2 linked regions of the Drosophila melanogaster genome follow. The protein of the gene in region 1 purifies or fractionates together with the protein of each later gene. This does not show direct contact. Each region holds a gene or a part of one and is shown in the gene's direction. Other genes may lie near its edges.

Region 1 (10,888 bases):
CTCTTTTGTTTGACAGGTTATTATGAAGATGTTTGAAAATTTCTCAAATATATCCAAACGTATCGAGTTCTGGACAGGGAAACACAGTATCGCTGCTGCCAATAGTTAACAACATCTGGCCATTTGCAGAAGCAAACGTGCTCGCTCCATCTGAAATTATGCGGAATTGGACAGACGAGGAGATTTTCTGGATGGACAATGGATCAGAAGAACGCGCCATCCTGTCATCCGGACAGGCACGAATCGAATCCGAAAGCACGTAAGATTCTTCATGAATACTGCATTTTGCTGATGCAGAAGAATTGTGATTACCTCTTGCTTTAATTTTTTCCTCTTCCTCTTAAAGAAACTGTATCTTATTGTAGATTAGACCTATCGGTAGATTAAAAGATTAATACCAACATGTTCATTTTTTTGGAAATGCAACGTATTATCTTATTTGAGCACCACCTTGAATATAGCAAACAATGGAAGTTCTTGAACTTGTATTTGTAGATAACTCAGTTCGGTTTCTTTAAAAGGCTCCTGCAGTCATGTAGAATGAACCATAGTATACCAAGCCGGGAAACCAAACATCGCTGCTCAGTCCAACATGATTCTTAGTCAAAATGATGGCATAACCGTACGAGTTATGAAGGAGGACGACTATCCAAGAGTGAAAACCTTCATGACGGACTACTTTCACTACGACGAGCCCATGGGAATGGGTCTCGAGGAGCCCATTCACCTGCAGCATGAGGAGGAAGTGGATAGGCAATACCTGGCGGTGATCAGGCAGGGACTATCCATAGTGGCACTGGACGATAACAACGGGGGACTACTGGTTGGCATTGCCGTGGCGGAGACGATGGATCCCATCGAAATGGCCAAGCAGCACAAGGAAGCCGAGGAAATGGAGCCAAATGCTTTGGGTCGCAGCAGGAAATTTATAGCCAAAGTGGAGCGCGAAGCCAACATTTTCGAACGCTTCGGAGTCTCCTCCTACCTGAGTCTGCTGGTCATCTCCGTTCACCCCTCAATGAGGCAAAGAGGTATCTTGGTCATACTTTCCAAATGTCTCTTTAAATTGGGTCGCCTGCGGGGACACACTCTGTTCATCACCAGCGGAACCAATCACTACTCCTCCCGGTCGGCGATGAAAGCGGGATGTGAGTGCATCCATTCGGTGGCCTATGCTGACTACAAGGACGAGTTGGGTCGGCCGATATATAATCCACCAGCGCCCCATACCCACATTCGGGTCTTGGCCTCAAAAATGTAAAAATTAAAATAATTTATTAATTAATTATTACTTTGGCCTTGGCAATTGATAAAGGTCGTCGAGCTGGAAACGCAAGTCCATATGGATCAAATAAAGTAATAAAATGTAGAACGGTCTACTTTATTGTTCAGATATTGTGTTGATTATGTATTTATCGACACATGACCTTGCAATAATTACAAAATCTGATATTAAGTAATCACTTTCCACTCGATGTATTTATCCTCAAAGATTTTGGGTCAGAAAACCATATTCGAAAAATGTTTATTACTAAAAGGATAAGTCAGTCTGGCACTTCATTAAAAATAAAACCAAAAGCCGTTGGAAACAACTTTCTCTTCGCCAAACAGAAACAATCTATAAATATGATAAGCCATTATCAGTGATAAGCGCCGAAGTATAAAAGCCATGTACACATCGGCGTCCTCTTCTGTCTTAAGAAAAGCATATAGAACGAATTAGCTCCGGATCGCGATGACTCCCACGACAATAGATGGCGTCACGATACGCATCATGCGCCCAGAGGATTATGCACAGGTAAAAGCCTATATGGAGGCTGAGTACTACACATCGGAGCCTCTGTGCCAGTCCAGCGGCGAACCCGTTCACCAGCAGAACGAGGAGATCAACGACGCCTTCAACCAGTCGATAATCGCCGAGGGCACCAGCCTTTTGGCACTGGATGAAAACGATGGTGGCCGGATTGTGGGTCTAGTTCTGGCATGTGCCAGTTATCCCGATAATGTGAATGCAGGAACATTGAATTTGAAGCTCGAGAATGTGGAGGATAACGCTTGGGGTCGAATGTATCATTTACTAATGAAGGCCAAGCGCGAAGTCAATCTGTTTGAGCGCTACGACATCCCGAAGGCGCTCTACTCCCACGTGACCAGCGTGGCCTCGTGGAAGAGGGGCAAGGGCCTGGGCTCCCGCCTGGCCGCCACCCTGATGGAGCTGGGCCGATCGAATGGTTTCCCCCTTATGATGGCCTTCTGCACTAGCTTCTACTCCGCTCGCCAGAAGGGGGCCTTGGGCATGGAGTGCATCTATTCCATCGACTACGCCGACTATAAGGACGATGAAGGACGAGTGATCTTCACACCGGCAGCCCCACACACAAAGCTGCGAGTGATGGCAATCAAACTGTGACAGTTGATAACAAATAACTGAGTCGAGGAATTTAAATAAATTATATAACTATAGTTATGTTTATTTAATACTTAGCACACTTTTGGGGGACCTATACAAGTTGACCAATGACCAATGTGTCTCGGACTTTAAGATAAGAGGCAAGATCTTGCACTGCTTTATTCTTTCGGTTCATAGTAAACAATTCAAACGGACGCGCCAAAATACAAAAACGTCCTTATCGATAACTCGGAAAGCAATTGGTTTTGATAATTAATCAAATTGATGTGTGCGATAGTTTCCGCTCACCGACCATCGCCCACCGCTAGCTGTCATTCGGCGACGCGACGAACTGAAATCAACGTGCTTATTTTCCGCTCGGTAATTTGCCAGAAAAAAACTAATCGAAATGGGCGTACAAGTAGTTCCAATTGCTCCTGGTGATGGTGAGTATCCAATGATTGGGTTAGAATCCGCAAGAAATGCCGTAAACTACCGGCCTTTCTAACCTATTTAGTGCATTTTCGCAATGCACAATTCGGAAATACCTGCGACAATATGGTCGTCCCGCTCACACACATCCATTTTTGCATTCCCCGCCCGCAGGCAGCACCTATCCCAAGAATGGCCAAAAGGTCACGGTCCACTACACCGGCACCCTGGACGATGGCACCAAGGTGAGTACGAATCCCGATCCTCGCCATCCCCAGCTAATGATCCGCCTTGAATTCCACGCAGTTCGATTCGTCGCGCGACCGCAACAAGCCATTCAAGTTCACCATCGGCAAGGGCGAGGTCATCCGTGGCTGGGATGAGGGAGTTGCCCAGTTGAGCGTCGGCCAGCGCGCCAAGCTGATTTGCTCGCCGGACTATGCCTACGGTAGCCGTGGCCACCCCGGCGTCATTCCGCCCAACTCCACCCTCACCTTCGACGTCGAGCTGCTCAAGGTCGAATAGGCGCACAGGATGCCCAATGTGTATACCCCAAACCAAATCGCAGGGGGTTGCGGACCGGCGCACCGGCGACGAGCCGAAGAACATCATAATCGGAACCAGAACAATCCAGCAGCATTTGCCAACCCAAAATAATAATGATAACTTCATACACAGCTCTAAACTAGAACTAATTTAACCGCAAAGGGAACGCATCTTCTACCAATACAAATAAACATTTATTCAAGTCAATGACAAATGTCTTTCTTATCAAAAATCTTGGGATAATCCAATCAAATCAGCTGCGGTTGCCTTTCCGTGCTGCAATACAAATGCATTTCATATTATTTTTTAATCAGGAAAATATGCAAATATAAAAACGCTTTATCATTCTCTTGATAGACTTGAAGTGGTCTACTTGACAAATTTGATTTTATTTTATATAAGTATATAAAGTGTACAAGCATCTTATTTGCATATATATTCGATTTGGAAACAGGATTTTTTTTAATTCTTTGTGCACAATTAATCCAAATTATTTTTCATTTTCTATACCACTTCCAAAATCACCTAGATACGCTTCAGTTTTTGCAGACCAAGCTCATAATCTTGTCAATAACTTCATATCGCTCCTTTTCATACTTCTTGATATGCTTTATCCAGTGTCCGCGCACTTTCTTCCAGCGGTTCATATTGGAGGACAGAAGATCGGAGGTACTGGCACCTTGGAGAGCCTTTTCCCGCTTCTTGTCCTCCTGGCTGAACTCCAGACGAGGCGGAATTATGGGCAGATCCGTGGACTTGGCCTGCGGGAGCTGGTTGATCACCTTTATCTCGCCGCTTTTAATTTGGGACAGGATTTCTTCGCCGTTGTCCTCACGTTTGGTGGCCGTGAGTGAAGCATCTGTTTGAAATGCACCCACAGCTGGATTCTTGGGTTGATTTGCCATCCATGCGCGGCATATGGGGTACAAAGGAGTCTTATCCTGGTATTTGGACAGGTCCAAACTTCGCTCAAACAGGCGCATTACGTAGGTCTCGCCGGGCGCCTTCTGGGCGACTGCCGCTGCTCCAACGCTCTTCTTGTAGAGCACTCTCCTGGCCTTGATGCGTCCTCCGGCGCCGGCTGCGGCTGCACTCGAGGATGTCGAAGGCTTCTCGCTAGAGCCCGACGTGACCGTCTTGACTTTCGGATCTAGCTTTACCTGGTACTGACGCTGCTGTTGCTGCTGGATGAGCAGCTTCTTCGAGGGACGGCCCCGAATGGGCAAATCCGACTCTGCGTCGTCGTCCGGCGGCAGGTTTGTCGTCTCTGGTTTCTGCTCCTCACGGCGCGACTCCCGCAAGCGCAGGGCCGTTTCCTTCTTTTTCGGCACAGTCTTCATTTCCAGAAATCTTGTATTCGACACGAAAATTAAGGGAAAACAATTTCGAATGCCGAATCGGAAATCAAACGGACTTACGGCGCTTCACAACACTGAAACACCACTTCGCCACGCAACACTACATAAGTCAGTGGTATTTCAAAAAATACCATAAATTAAAGAAAACAAACGGTCTTGGCGCCTAACGCTAGCTTGAGAAATAATTCTTTGAATTATTTGTAGCTTAAATGAAAAGAAAAAAGAATAACATATATATTTTTAAACAAAAACTTAATACACATTAATATTTGACTATTCAAAAATATTTAATAGACTTTGATTGTTAAATTAATACTTTTGTAGATTAAAAAAAAAAAAACAAGGAAATGAAAGTCTTAAAAATTTGGTATTTCTCGATTTGGTAATTTTAACCCAAAACCTTTCGGGCTTTTCAACCCACCTTTTATGGTCACACTGCTGTTTTGTGATCGCGAAAAGAGCGACGTGAAAAATACATTTAATTAAGTTTACTGCGAAAAATAAAATAAATAACTAAATTAAAACAAAGCGGAGCTTTTGCGTGAACTGTGTGTGTAGTTGTGAGTGTGTGAGAAAAGAAAAACGAAAACAAAGCCAACGAGGAAATCGAAGGGGCAAAAGTGGAAAAGATTCAGATTGAAAAGCACCAAAATATCGAAATCACAATTTGAATGTCAAAGAACAAACGACAAAAAGAGCGGAGCAACAAAGGAACATTGGAAAAGTCAAGAATTTAACTTATTCGGTAAGGATGCAAATTGTAAATCTGTGGATTTTGCTTCTTCTGCTCACGCACACATCCACATACAATTGGGAAGTGCACAGGTGTGGGTGGATCTGCTCTGTGTGCAAATAACAAATTGTGAAAAACAACTCGCACACATGCAGATCACCTAGTGCACCAAATAAAAGCAATAAATAAACACATTTCCAAACGGGCAACAAGTTGTGAATGCGTTTTTTAAGGGGGAGGGGCCATACCAAGTTTCCCAACGTTTCACATTTTCAATCGATCTCGGTTGTTTTTATATATGTATGGATATTTTTTATCTACTATTGCGTAGCTGCCAATGTCACCTGTTTTTTGCTCTCTCTCTCTCTCTCTCTTGCGCTCTCTCCCTCCCTCTCGCTCGCACCCACGCTGGCTGTAGCTGGTTTTTATCTTGTGCCGTTAACACAGCCATTACGTGTCTCTTTCGCACTCGCACTGCACATTGGTGTTCGTGTGTCTGTGCAAGACTGCACGTAACTGTATTACCCATTCGTACATGCGTATACGTATTTCCGCCTATTGATAACGGCTGAAACTCCCTCGAAATGGCCGTCTTTTCGAAATATGTAAACGAATCGTTCGGGTACATCCCCCGACCACCACCCACCCACCGCCCACTCAACCCCCTCCAAGCGCTTCTAATCGCAAAGTGCAAATATTGATTTGCTATGTGTGCTTTTAGATTTTCTCCCACTATCAATAACAATAAGCGCTCTCTGTACGTTGTTTTTGCTTCGGTTTGGTTTCGTATTAAGAAAACAAGTTCACAAGTTTTTGCACTTGTTATGCACTGTAAGAAAAACGCAAGTTTTATTCAAGAGCTCCGCATTACCGCATTATATTGCCAATTGTGAAACTTTTATAATATTTATACTAGCAGCTTAGTTTTGTAACTTTCGGAAATAAAAAGTTTTGGTAAAACAAACAAGAAACATTTTATTTATTTTTTTAAGTGTTGATCATTGTTGCTGTTTCGTTTTGTGACTTTGTTTATGTGGCGGTTTTCTTGTAATTGCGGGAATTTCCCGGCATTTCAGCAGTTGAGAGTGCAAATATAAAGCAGAGAGAGAAACCCTCATCTGTTTGTGATTATCTGAATTCTTCTTCCGTATTTAAGCGTTAACTCTGCTTTTGAGCGACAAGGCTGTTAAATATTTTCAGCTATAACACCAAAATTACCCTTTATCTCGCAATATATTAATAAATACAAGTCTCCAAAAGACGTCATAAATTAAAACGCGATTTAAATGACGTTTAAAGCGACTTCTAATTTATGTATGTTTATCACGAACTAAAAATTTAATTACTTTATAAATTTTAAATTCTCAAGATAGTGAGCAACTATGTATGTTTTAAAGAAAAAATTGTTGGAGTTCCACAAAATTTCGTTTGAAAAATTGAGTTTTTATGTACCAAATATGCAAATCAAATGAAACTTAAAAGCTGACTTAGAAATCCTTTTGTTTATATGGGTGAAACTAAATAAATCCTTTTGTTTATGTAAATCACGTTCGATTGTGTGCTTATTCCACGCATTAATAACTGCCTTACTCCATGCACAGAGTACAGCTTTTTTGAATGTCATGCTGATATGACAGAGCTGAAACGCTCTTCTGACATAATAGATTAATACGTATAGACTCATTTTCATAACGTTGGTCCTTCTATTCAAATACTGTATCAGCAAAACTTAAGAATCTTACATCTAAGTGTTTAACCTACTTGAGTAACTACTGTACGGTGTATTCCTGCGATCTCAATGAAAACTTTCCCATCAATTTAAATCTATCTTATCGCCAGCAATTTTGTTGATATTTAGCTTCGGGAAGGGACGAGTTCAGGAAAATATATAGTATATGTGTGTGTACATATGTATGTCCCCTGTTGCGAAGAGACACAAATGTCGCGCGATAACGTGGGCAACCGCAGCACACCTGGTTGGATTTGGACATCGACTAAAAATAACTCCGCTTCGATTATTTTCACAAATTTGAAAAGGCAAATTGCGGCGATTGGAGGGTTCATCACAAGCCTCCAACATCGATAAATGAATACCGTGTATTAGTTATTATTTCAGAGGAGACAGGCGAGGTGTTCCACTTTGATTTTCCATAGCGATCGCTAAGTTCCATTGCCCCTCCGAGTTTGATTCCCATGCCCATATTCAATTCTAGAATTCGGCAATGACGTCAAGGCCTGACGTCTGCAGAAAATTCCGCAAAACGCCTCTTCAAATTATTGGCGAGGCAAGAAAAGCAAAAGAAAATCGGCGAGCGAGCAGCGAAATACAAAATAAAATTATTTTCGTTCCATTTTTCGTCTTTTGGTATTTTGTGTGGCTGCTTCCATTCCATTTCATGTCTCTGCATTTGATTTATAATTTTCACAATTCACATACTTTTCGTTGCTCTATCTCTTTTTTATTTAATTTCCGACTCGTTTTTTTTTTTTTTTTTTTTTTGCGACAAAGTGAAAGTTGTTTTCCATGTTATTTACTGCTGCCTCTTTCCTTCGTTTATTCCCTTCGCATTCCCTTTCCCGTTCTTTTCGTCTGTCCATATGTTTTGTGTTTCAAAACCAAGTTGAAGGTGCGGGAGGGACGCCATCTAGTACGTAGTTCCTTTCGCAATTATTTTTGTATTCAAGCATATTTTTGGCGATTTTTTGTTATTTATATATGTTTATTTTTTGACATGCCAGACAGAGAGATTTCCGGTCAATATGCATCGATACCTCAAAGTCTTCGAGGGCGCCAAGGCGGCATGGTAATTCCCCAGTCCAGCCAAGATATTAACAGACTTATTGGGTTGATGGACAGAGCGATTACACGTTCGTTTCGCTGTAAATCAATCAAAAGTAATAGATTTGATAGAAACCATTAAAAGCTAGCTTTGGCATTAGTTGAAAAGTCTTAAAACTGCCACTATTTCAGGATAAAACTGGTTTGGTAGATATTTTAAATATTTCGAAAATAACAGAGTACAAAATTAATTCTATTAACAACATTTTGATGCCTTTTCGTTTGTTGGCATCTGTGTACCGAAATGTAATCAAATCATTGGAAATTCCCATAAGACAATTTCATGTAAATCGGCAGAAGAACACGTGCCACCATGATTTTTACAAAGGCATTTTAATGAATGGAAATTTTGCTCAACTAATTACAAGAGTTTTCCCGTAGTGCGCACACCCACCGAAAATTTCACGCCCTCACAATCCAAAATACCTAAACAATCGTGAGCTGCCATAATTTTAATGACTTTGTAAACTTTTTTTATTTTGTATGCTTTTGGCACACAGTGCGAACTTTTATTTATTTTTTTTTTCATGTCTTTGTTGCTCTTAGCTTGTTTTAAGTTTGTTTTGCGTGTCCTCGAAAAGGCAGAATGAAATAAAAAACCGAAGTATAGAATAATACAAATGATCTTTTACCTGTACCATAAGTACATACATATATTGTGCAAACAGTGCGTAGCGAAAATGTAAGTGTTTCCTAAAATCGAATGCATCATAAATACACAGTTTGCAAACATAAAAGATATAGTAGTTCCTTTGATATTTGTACATCTATAAAAGTAATTTATAAGAAAGTTCCTTCACTATGGGCAATTATACCATTATTCACAAAATAATGGTAAGTGATTTTATTAATAGTCCTGTTGAGAATAACCCATTTGTTCAGATATCTGGATAGTATCCTTGCAGATGCGAACCGCACTGTACTTTGAATATGAAGGAAGATACATTTGTATGCACAGTATTATCATTCCACACGAGTACTCTCAATTTCTTATATACACTATGGCCTGCGAAATATTTGACGTCGATTTCCGATTTTCTGGCTTGTGCATTCTGGGCAACGCGTCTGTATGTGTGTATCTTTGTATCTCTATCTCTCCTATCTGCCCTGCATATATCTGGCTAATTGTGAAGGTCGTTTACGTCTGCAGTCGATCGCCCCATGCTTGTTGTTGTTTGTCTGCCACCCGCTATAAGGAAAAAAGAAAAGCGAGGGGGAAAACCGAAAGGCAGACGAAGCTGGCAAACAAAACGTAGCAATCTAAAGAGCACAGAAAACGAATTTTCATTGCCTTCCCATCGACCCCTTGGCACCAAAAAAAAAGGAGAAATTGTCTAAATATTTTCAAATATCAGATCGCAATTTACGTGTTCCGCTCATCCGTTTATAAGTACCCCACAAAATGATGTTGGAATTTTATGGAACTAGCGAGAAAAAAAAAAATAAAAAAAAATACAGAAGACAAGAAGAATTGTTTTCATCATATTCTGGGGTTTATCTTTAATGGCTTCTTAATTTCCTTAGCAACTTGAAAATGTTGTTATCGCAAGCGAAAACCGCTTGGCTTTGATTTTAAAATAAACAGCAACTGGAAAGTGTGAAACATATACATAGACAATTATAATTTATTATTTATGTTTTGCTGGCCAATTTTAAGGCGCCATCGCCGCTAATTTAGTGGCTTATATTTGAATGAATTATACATTTCTTGTATAGATTTTGTCTCGCTGACATGGTTTTGCTTCGGTTTATTATTTGTTTTTATTTATTTTGTTAGTATAAAAGTGGGACTGCGAGGGCGGTTCTAATACTTGGCTAAGCCGCTAACTAATTTAGGCGCTTTTCATTTGGTCGTTGATGGACAGCAATTAAATGCTTATCCCATTTGATGGGTTTTCGCTTTTTAATATTAATTTCCTGCGTCTTCAACTCTTTCACCTTAGCAAGCATATCATTAATTTTGTGCCTTGATTTTTTTGCGTTTTTTTTTTTGTTTTGTTTTATATGTACATGCTTCTTGTTGTTGTTGCCTTTTTTCGAATATTTCATTCAATTTTCTTAGCTTCGTAGTGTTGGTGTGAAAAACACCCACACAAAAATTTATTTTTATAAAAGAGAGCGGCTAAGAGAAAGATCCAAATTTCTGTTACAAAGTGGTATTGGTGTGGCAAAAATATTGAATGATTTAATTGATTCGTTACGGGATCTATTATTTTTCTCACATTTATTGCGAATTTCCCAGCGTAACAACCTACTTGTTCCACATTGCGTATGCTTGATATGCGCCATTTTATTCAAGTATTCCCATTGTGAACTTCACAAACTTCGCAACGGAATGTTTTGTTTTTTATTGTGTGTTTATTGTTAACTCTGTGTTTTAGTTCGAATTTCTACAATTTTCTCGGGAATAAGTACACATATTATACCTTTTGTTTACGCTCTCTCAAACATTTTCCACACACACACATAAGCCGAATGTGTGCCTCTTTGGTGCTCATCGTGATCTTTTCGATTTGTAGGCCTTTAGTTCTCAAAATGTGCGATATTTGTACTTCAGTTCTTCGCTGGCATTTAAAGCGTTCAAACGCGTT
Region 2 (10,044 bases), on another chromosome or scaffold:
TGTTCAAACGTTCAAGGAACTGAATACCCAGTTTGGCAACCAAAGTCGGCGCATCCAGCCGCCCATCACATTCAACAGAGTAAAGGTGACATTCAAAGACGAGCCGGGCGAGGGATCGGGTGTAGCGCGCAGTTTTTACACATCGATCGCAGAAGCATTGCTGGCCAGTGCTAAGATCCCCAACTTGGAGTCCGTACAGGTGGGCACCAATCATAGCAAGTACGTAGTGCCGTTCTCGAGCATCCTGCGCAGCAGAACAGTATCGGGGTCTAGTCGCGATCAGTCCACTCTGCAGAGGCGTGGTTCCAACAGCAAAATATTGTGGCGTTCGGCCCGTGAGAGGAAGGCATTGAATTTGGATGCCAGACCGTATACTCCACCAAATAGCTCAGGTAATCTATAAAATCAATCTTGTTCTATGTATTATATTGACCCACTTATTGGAACTGCAAATTTAGATAATGCTACGCCGGAAAGCCTGAATGATCACTTGTCCGTTCACCTACAACAAATTGGGGAACGTCTTTACCCGAAGGTAAGCGAATTAATCCAATTGAAGTTCATAATATTAACAGTCCGACTTGATCAACAGATCCATTCGATAAACCAAACGCATGCACCGAAGATAACAGGAATGCTGCTGGAGATACCCACTCCGCAGCTCCTGTCCGTAATTTCCTCAGATGAGACGCTCCGTCAGAAAGTGAATGAAGCGATAGAAATAATCACGTTTAAACAAAAATCTGAGACCAGTGCACAAAGTAGTCAACCAAAAAAATCACCATCTGTCGTGGTAGTGGATCCCGTTGATGATGATAATGAACCATTATTTTACTCACCGGGAAAGCGGGGCTTTTACACACCACGCCAAGGCTTTGCATCATTCGAGCGCATTAATGCATTTAGAAATATTGGAAGGTAAGCTAAGTGCTCCCTTATTCGATTCACTGCTTTAACGCCGCCTATCTCTTTTCTCAGACTTATTGGACTTTGTCTACTGCAAAACGAATTGCTTCCACTGTTCCTACAAAGACATGTACTAAAATACATTCTTGGGCGTAAAATTAAGTTCCACGACTTGGCATTTTTCGATCCAGCATTGTACGAATCTTTTAGACAAATTATTCAAAATGCCCAAACAAAGGAAGGCGAGGAAACTATAAATCGTATGGAGCTATGCTTTGTGTAAGTAATCCCACCTTACTTGATAGTTTAGGCTCTAAATAACCTGCCATTTCAGTATCGATTTGATGAAGGAGGAGGGCTGTGGTAACAGAGAGCTTATCCCAGGAGGGCGCGATGTCGCTGTCACATCGAGTAATATATTCGAGTACGTCAGACGCTATACAGAATATAGACTAATCAAATCCCAAGAAAAGGCACTGGAGGTATGGGCAAATATTGCGTAAAAATGTATAGCCTTATTACAACAAAATATTGTCTACCATTCACAGGCACTGAAGGACGGAGTTTTTGACGTTTTGCCCGATAACAGCATGATTAACTTAACCGCTGAGGACTTGCGTCTGCTGCTAAACGGTGTTGGTGATATAAATGTTTCGACACTAATTTCATACACTACCTTTAACGACGAATCTAGCGAGGGTCCTGATAAACTTTTAAAATTTAAGAAATGGTTTTGGAGTATTGTGGAGAAAATGAACATTATGGAACGCCAGGATTTGGTAAGAAGAAAGATGGTCCAATGAGCTTCAAACATTCATAACAAACACAATTCTTGCAGGTTTACTTCTGGACCGGCTCTCCTGCGCTTCCAGCTTCGGAGGAGGGATTCCAACCATTGCCATCTGTCACCATAAGACCTGCGGATGACTCCCATCTACCGACTGCGAATACTTGTATCTCTCGGCTGTATATCCCTCTTTACTCCAGCAAATCTATTTTACGCAGTAAAATGCTGATGGCCATTAAATCCAAAAATTTTGGATTTGTATAAGCGATTGGAAGTCTTTCCCATCTGTATAAGCTTCAAATTCATTTCTTAATTAACTTTAGTTTTTTTTTGAGTTTCGACTTTCGTCATATTTAACCATACCATTCCCATTTCGGATTATATATTGTTTAAAATTTATTCGAATTTGAACAATTTGTACGTAACATTATTGAACAAGATTGGCTCGGGTCATGACGGTCTTGCTTGACCCAACGTGTAGTAAAAATATGAAACTCCCCAACATCCATTGTAACCAATAAAACGGCCAATTAGGTAATAGGAAGCCTATGTTTTAATTATTAAACTTTTAAATAAAATATGTTTTCTAAAGTATGACTTATGCACATGTATATTTATCGATATCGATTCAATAGAAATTTGAAGAAAAAACCAATAAAAATAAGTCCACCTTATGGAAATTATGTATGATATAAAATTGACTTCTATTTCATTTGGAAAAATTTTCCCTTGGACTAACAAATAGTTCAATTCACAAAGATTAAGATTTTTCATTTATTTAGTTTAGTCATAATGATAGGCTATAATACCGAAACATCAAAGCTGTACATAATCCAAGCTTTTGATAATAAAAATACATGCTTAGCTTAACCTAGAATTGCATAAAGTGCACTGCAAGCACTTGGTTAGTTACATTAGACTGTTGTCCTTATAAATATTCGAGGAAACGCAATCTTCCTAAATACATTTATACACAAAACAATAAGGTACCACAAATAACTCATAAAAACGAAGCACATTAAATTAAAAACGACTACTTCCCCTTATCAGCGACACAAAAAAATATAAATAATAAACAGGCAATGCGATTATTCAATGATCACTGGGAACTTCTCCACTTCCTCGCATTGCTTGTTGAAACTGGTGACGAACTGCTCCAATTTAGCCTCATGCTCGATGTCTCTGCGTGGCCGTTTAACGTGATGCCGCTTCTTCTCCGGAGAATCCAAGCTCTTGTCGTGCGAGTCCTGCTCGTCCTCGTCCTCACTTTCACTTTCGATGTACAATATCTGCACTCGCTTCTTTCGCTTACGTTGCGGACGCTCCTTCACATAGGTTCGTCTGGGTTGCTAGAACAGGTTGAATTTTTAAAACAATTAGGCGCCGTTTGCCAAAATAAAAGATTTCAAATGTTGTATACAAAACTACAGACTTACGACTAAAATTTTTATTTGTGTGAGCGGCTTACTACCGATCAAAGAAAGACTTAAATCTTTGCGGCCCTGTTTGCTCAACTAAAACGTTAACGTCTCAGTTTTAAGTTAATCTAGCGTTATGAGGTCAGTGTCTACACTCACTGTTTACAGTGTCGACGCTTTCCCAACGCTTGGACGAACCCATTACATAAATCCTACCTTATCGGCAAATGATTGCTCCGGCTCGTCCTGGTCAACCCTAAACAATCCCATCGATTCCCTAGCAGTGGGTGCAGCAGGTTTCCGTTTCGCCGGTCGGGGCGGCGCAATCATAGTGGAGCACAACATATATCTGATGTCGGTTTGCTTCGAATGTGATTCGCCCAGGCAATCGGAACGAATAGAGGTATATGATACTTGTGGAAGCTCACCATCTCTGGGTCGCAGCTCCGCAAGACGATGGAGCTTATCATGCAGATTTACATTTTGACTCAGCCCCGTGAAATTGGCTGGCGAATCTTGGCTTTCGGTGATAAATTCATCGAATCCAAAGAGGTTTTGTGAAGATGATGTTCGTTCTTCCGTATTCGTTTCCTTTTCTTTTGGTATATTTTCACAGGGCAATATTTCGTTGCATCCGAAAGTATTTACTTCCGTTTGATTACGATTAGCTAAAGCAGGAGTCACTTCTCTGTTTAAGGACATACTGGTAGGAGCGATACCTTTTGAGGGAGTAGTTGACTTTCTAGGTATATCTTCACATGCAAAATCATCATCGAAACCAAAAAGATTCGACCGCGTTTGACTGCGTTGCGCTGGGGATGACGTCGCCATTGGACGAGGTGCCACTCTGGTAGGAGTGATTTCTTTTGAAACAGTGGCCGTCACGTTCTTCTTCCAAGACGGCAGTGTCACTACTTCTAGTATGTTAATATCCTTAAAGGGCGTTCGTTTCTGCAGCGTTCTCCGAGGATTCGGCAGGTGCACAAAGTTCTCCGCATTCTCTTCGCTTTCCTGGTCATTGATCGACATCGATTTGCTAATTGTGGGAGGGGGACGGTTCTCCTCATTCGAGTCGTTCGCATTTGAGTCATGATTTTGCTCGTGCAAAGGCGGACAAATGGATTCCTCGTGAGGGATGTTCTCAGCATGCTCTACCGGCGAATCTGGCACATAGACATGCCGACGTTGCACATGATCACTGGAGTACGATGGCATCTGGGAGTTGTTGAAACCAAACATGAAAGTATTGGGCAATGGTGAATCGTCGGAAACGCGCCAGGGGGATTTGCCTCCCGCGGTCCTAACTGCATTTGGAGACTGGTGGGCAATAGGCGACAATGCAGTGGTGGTGGCACTAACATCTGTCACCGGAGGAGCTCTGCGATTCAGCGGCGTGCTAACCAATTGTCGCGCCATGTTGATAAGTTCTCGACGTCTGTCTGTAGATGGCAGTGGATTTTGCGCCTGGGTCTGGTTAAGCATTACGGATCGGGCCAAATTACTGTAGGCTCCTTCGTGCGCTTGCTTAGAAGTGCTCGGCTCCACATGTACCTGGACGGGCACTTCGATGGGCTGCACGTATCCGTGCTCCGAATCGTTGCTATAATCTTCCTCGGGCTCGAAAATGGTCGATAAGGAGCGTGATGGCTTTTGAAGGCGCGGTTCTATGGACTTGGGAACGACCTTGACTGGCTCAGGCTCATTGTCTTTTGTCGAAACCTTTCTTCGATTACCCACAGGTCGGACCTTCTTTGCTGTTCTTTTGGCTCTCGGTTTGCCGATTTTTCTTGACCGCACCATTACGCAGGCCTTTCCATCCTTAACCAAACGCTGAATTATGTCTGCCGCCGGATCCTCCCTGTCACTGTCATCTTCGATCTGCGACTGCGACAGAAAATCGAAAACGTTGCGGGTCACCGATGATCGTGTCCTGGTTAAAGGCTGATCTCTGTGGAAGAAACGAGGTGGTTTTTTGGGCGAAATCTCAGCTGCCGGTCCACTAGGGCTTTTACTCCTTATGCGTTGCTGACATGGCGATGTTTCGGGACCTGCAAGTAGTTGTGCTTATCAAGAAAAGTCCATCATCCGCCTGGTGAGAGCCTCTTACCTGCCACATTTTCCTTGATATTTTGGGGTTGCGTTGATTTCTGTACCTTCGAAGGAATGTACATCGTCGAGTTGCGAGCCGGCTCAAAAGTGCTGGCATCCACATCAGGCGCATCATTTCGAGAAATTTCGGATACGACACCGTTTTTTACCTTAATGCGCCTTATTTTTACCACGCATTTTCTTATGCGACACTCTGGCTCGTTTAGGGCTGTCAAAGATTGTTTGTTTGATAGTTTCGTGGGACGCCCGGGTTTTCGTATTATCGTGGTCAAATCAGCTCCGAGTTTCTTGGGACGCCCGGGTTTACGTATTGTGGTCAAATCAGCTCCGATGGACAGCTTCTTGGGACGCCCGGGTTTGCTTATCGTTGTGCTTAAGTCAGCTCCGATGGACTGTTTCTTGGGACGCCCGGGATTGCGTCTCGTTGCGGTGTTCACATCTGGCGACGGAACACACGGCACCGGCCGTGTTCTTACCATTTTAAGAATATAATTTGTTTACCAAATGAAATTCATGTACAGCTCCCGCCATTTTATTTACTAGTATGACCATCCCCCGATCTCTAAGACTTGCCATGAAAACCACTGAACACCAGTAGGTGTGAAGCTTGACTAACCAGCTAACCGAGACACTTTTCAACACTGAGCGCCAGGGACGGAGCACCGATAGTTGTCGATAGGCGGACAGAGAACCAGATGATTGGCCTCGCAATAATGTAAAAAATAAATAATTAGCTGTTTCCAAATAATCCAAATTCCAAATTCCTTGCACTACGATCCACCGTGCGTGTGTTCGTCGCCGTGAATGTGTGCGGGCAGTTTCGTTTCACGCGCCCCAAGCAAGTACAGCTGAAAATTGAGAAGGAAAGCAAGAAAGAAAACCCCCCAAACTGAAAATCGAGTGAAAGTTTTCTCATCGTCTTTGTTTTGTAATTGTGATTTTCCTGCCTGCTGCCAGCGCTCATTACTGGCAATATTGGATCGACGTCGACATAGTGTCGCTGCTGCGGGCGCGGGTGGCCGACGGCGACTATAGCAACTACACCTTATAGCTACTATAATACTAATGCTATACTCGCGGTCCCTATTGTGATTGTGTTATATATTTAAATCGACTCGATTCGAATCGAATCCAATCGCTGTCGTGGTCGCAGTCGCATTCGCGTTTTCTGGGACTGCTGCAAAAGGCCTTGCGATTTTCTGCGCCAGGTACTGTGTAAAGACGTCGATGTGGGAAGGGGGGTGGAGGCGGTTGTGGGATGGTTGGGATGGCACGGGGCGAATCCCAATAAGAAACTAGCGCGAAAACTGGCATACCAGCGTACATACATACGTACGTACATCGCACGCGACACATGCCATACATACATAGGCGAATTATAATGGCAACAAATAAATGCAACCGACCCAGCAGTTGAACCACTACCACCTATACCACCACTACTACCAAAACCAGACCCTATCCAATTCATTCCAATCCAATCCCAGGCAACGAGAACCCGAAGGCTGACTGTGACGCCAGTGGGGGAAATGGAAATGGAGCCAAGGCAGATGTACATATCTGTGGATGTATCTGCGAATTATGTCTCAGGGTCAAGGACACTGCTTCTGCCTCGCTAACCGTTGTTTGACCTTATTAACGAGTCGGAAGTGGTGGATTCGCCGCTCACCGACTTTAGGGATACCCTTTCGGTTCGCTTATCCAAAGAATAGTAGCTTAGTAGATACATTCATTGGTAGATAGTTGTCCCCCAAAACGAGTCATGCATATAGTCTTTATACTTTGCAAAATAAGTCAAGGTAAATTGAAATGTCCTCCAAATTGTAGATTTCCCTGCGTACTTATAAATCCAATATTAGTTTTTAGATAATCTTTTTCTTTTGAATGCAACATCTCATTAACTTCCGACAAAAGTCAACATAGCTATACATTATTGATCAAACTCTTCGTATCTTCAACCAACTTCGACTAAAATGATTGTCTAAGCTTACAATTGTTCAGAAATTAAACTATTTTGAAGTAAAAAAGGCAGCCAGGTGGATTTGACTAGTAAAAGCATATTTTATGGGATCCCCTTACTTGGTGACACTCGTGTATCCCATATCAAATATTCAACGTATGATCCCTTTCTCCTTGGCAGATCAACTGCATTGGCCGGCTCCGCGCATAAACAATGTGCGATACCAAAGACGATGCGCAGAAATGGAAATGTGAAACTTGCACCTACGAGAACTACCCATCCTCGCTGAAATGCACCATGTGCCAGGCGTCCAAGCCGCTGCTCAACGAGGACATCTTCCGGTATGACAACTCTGACGATCTATACCTAATCTTCTGCTAATTAATACTTGCTAATTCTTGCAGTCTGAGTCCAGCCCAGGAGAGCTGCACCGTTGCGGAGGAGGCGGCTGCCGTCGAAGTAGCCGTAATGTCGCCCACACCTTCGTCCACGTGCTACTCGCTCCAGCCGCAGAGCCAGGCACGGCAGAGCAACGTGGCGGACAGCGAAAAGTGGCCCTGCAAGGTGTGCACCTATCTCAATTGGCCGCGGAGCCTGCGCTGCGTTCAGTGCTGCACGAAGCGCGGTGGCGAGGCGATAGAGCGTGGCAAAAAGGACATGGATAACGAGGCGGACGGGGATCGTGCAGGAGAGGCGCTGCAAGCCCTTCGCATCAGCGGCTCGGAGGAGAACCTGGCCAATAAGCCGGTTCAGCTCATCGGCGCCACGGCCTCCCATCGTTTGAGCCTTAGTCGTGGCATAGACGATGCGACCCATCTGAACAATCTCGCCAATGCGTCTCACAACCAGTCGCAGTCCCAGCACCGGCAGCCTGTCCTACAGCAGCAGATGCAGCTCCAGCTGCAGCCGCAGCAACAGCGGGAATCCTCATCCTCCGCCGCCGTCCCGCCGCAGCAGCAGAAGCAGTGCTATGTCTCCAAATGGGCGTGTAACGTAGGTTTTCATATCCCAACCAATTCGCTCAGATGTACTTAAAGTTAGAATTTTCCTTAGTCTTGCACTTACGAAAACTGGCCGAGGAGCATCAAGTGCTCCATGTGCGGCAAGACGAGGGAGCGGGAGATTAGTGGGTCGCAGAACGACTTGCACGCCTCATCCAGCCTAAACAGTCAGGAGGAGAATCAGCAACAACTGCAGCAGCCAAACGTGGATACCGTCAGCGTCAATAACTCGTTCAATAAGAAGCACATTTACCAACTGGGTAAGAGTTTTTAATGTGATTTCTCTGGGTATGACTAATTGATATTCACTTTCCAGGTTCTTCGGAAACCATCAACAACTGTGATACGCTGCAAGAGCGTCAGGAGCGCCGCCAGCGTCAAATCCGACGACAGGTGGACTGGCAGTGGCTGAATGCGTGCCTGGGCGTCGTGGAGAACAACTACAGCGCTGTGGAGGCGTACCTCTCCTGCGGTGGCAATCCAGCCCGTTCGTTGACCAGCACCGAGATTGCCGCCCTCAACCGCAACTCGGCCTTCGACGTGGGCCACACCCTGATCCACCTGGCCATTCGTTTTCATCGCGAGGAGATGTTACCGATGCTGCTGGACCAGATCTCCGGTTCGGGGCCGGGCATCAAGCGTGTGCCGTCCTACGTGGCTCCCGACTTGGCGGCCGATATCCGGCGCCACTTTGCCAATACCCTGCGCTTGCGCAAGTCCGGTCTACCCTGCCACTATGTGCAAAAGCACGCCACCTTCGCCCTCCCCGCCGAGATTGAGGAGCTGCCGATACCCATACAGGAGCAGCTCTACGATGAGCTGCTCGACCGCGACGCGCAGAAACAGCTGGAGACGCCGCCGCCGGCCTTGAATTGGTCGCTGGAGATCACTGCTCGCCTGAGCTCACGGATGTTTGTACTGTGGAACCGCAGTGCTGGCGACTGCCTGCTGGACTCGGCCATGCAGGCCACCTGGGGCGTCTTCGATCGTGACAATATCCTTAGGCGGGCACTCGCCGACACACTGCACCAGTGCGGGCATGTGTAAGTTAAACGAATTTGTTTTAACAACCGTCAGCTTATTAATAGTCTTGATACTCTTATTGTAGGTTCTTTACTCGCTGGAAAGAGTACGAGATGCTGCAGGCTTCGATGCTCCACTTTACGCTGGAGGACTCTCAGTTCGAGGAGGACTGGAGTACACTACTGTCATTGGCCGGCCAACCCGGCTCGTCCCTGGAGCAACTGCACATCTTTGCGCTGGCGCATATCCTTCGTCGGCCGATTATCGTTTACGGCGTGAAGTACGTCAAGAGTTTTCGGGGCGAGGACATTGGATACGCGCGTTTCGAAGGTAGCTATTAATTTTTACGTCGCTGTATTGCATTTATTTGATTGCCTTATTTCTAGGTGTCTACTTGCCTTTGTTCTGGGATCAAAACTTTTGCACCAAGTCACCGATAGCACTGGGCTACACACGTGGCCATTTCAGCGCCCTGGTGCCGATGGAGCCATTCACTCGCATCGATGGGCGGCGTGACGATGTGGAGGACGTAACCTATCTCCCGCTAATGGACTGCGAGCTGAAACTTTTGCCCATACATTTCCTTACACAGTCGGAGGTGAGAGCTTATTCAAATATCCTGTAGAACATTGTGAGCTTAGACATTTCCGTTCCTTGCCTGCAGGTTGGCAACGAGGAGTCAATGATGCGTCAATGGCTGGACGTGTGCGTAACTGATGGAGGCCTACTGGTGGCGCAACAAAAGCTAAGCAAGCGTCCCTTGCTGGTCGCCCAGATGCTGGAAGAGTGGCTAAATCACTACCGCCGCATTGCGTAAATATGACTTGCTCTCCTTCCGGA

The links. Proteins that work in one complex are often made in the same cells at the same time.
Region 2: the proteins of Tab2 (region 1) and trbd purify together in Drosophila melanogaster (affinity purification with western blotting, with the first as the bait; one study listed by BioGRID). This does not show direct contact.

What each region holds. Positions count from the first base shown.
Region 1 is NT_033778.4:19,287,391-19,298,278, forward strand, and holds the start of Tab2 (TAK1-associated binding protein 2), read left to right. Parts: upstream 1-5,138; 5' UTR 5,139-5,470; intron 5,471-10,852; exon of another isoform or gene 10,853-10,888. Other genes in the region: AANATL6 (arylalkylamine N-acetyltransferase-like 6), read left to right, coding at 593-1,261; AANATL4 (arylalkylamine N-acetyltransferase-like 4), read left to right, coding at 1,736-2,410; Fkbp12 (FK506-binding protein 12kD), read left to right, coding at 2,799-2,835, 2,996-3,066, 3,128-3,346; mip40 (Myb-interacting protein 40), read right to left, coding at 3,904-4,707.
Region 2 is NT_033777.3:9,706,865-9,716,908, reverse strand, and holds the start of trbd (trabid), read left to right. Parts: upstream 1-5,871; 5' UTR 5,872-6,428; intron 6,429-7,360; 5' UTR 7,361-7,393; coding exon 7,394-7,521; intron 7,522-7,584; coding exon 7,585-8,173; intron 8,174-8,233; coding exon 8,234-8,441; intron 8,442-8,497; coding exon 8,498-9,224; intron 9,225-9,289; coding exon 9,290-9,534; intron 9,535-9,590; coding exon 9,591-9,802; intron 9,803-9,868; coding exon 9,869-10,017; intron 10,018-10,044. Other genes in the region: hyd (hyperplastic discs), read left to right, coding at 1-392, 459-535, 593-918, 979-1,185, 1,241-1,388, 1,455-1,685, 1,745-1,957; dmt (dalmatian), read right to left, coding at 2,782-3,042, 3,328-5,159, 5,219-5,699. UniProt on the Drosophila melanogaster protein: Positive regulator of the Wnt signaling pathway. Specifically cleaves 'Lys-63'-linked ubiquitin chains. May act by deubiquitinating APC protein, a negative regulator of Wnt-mediated transcription.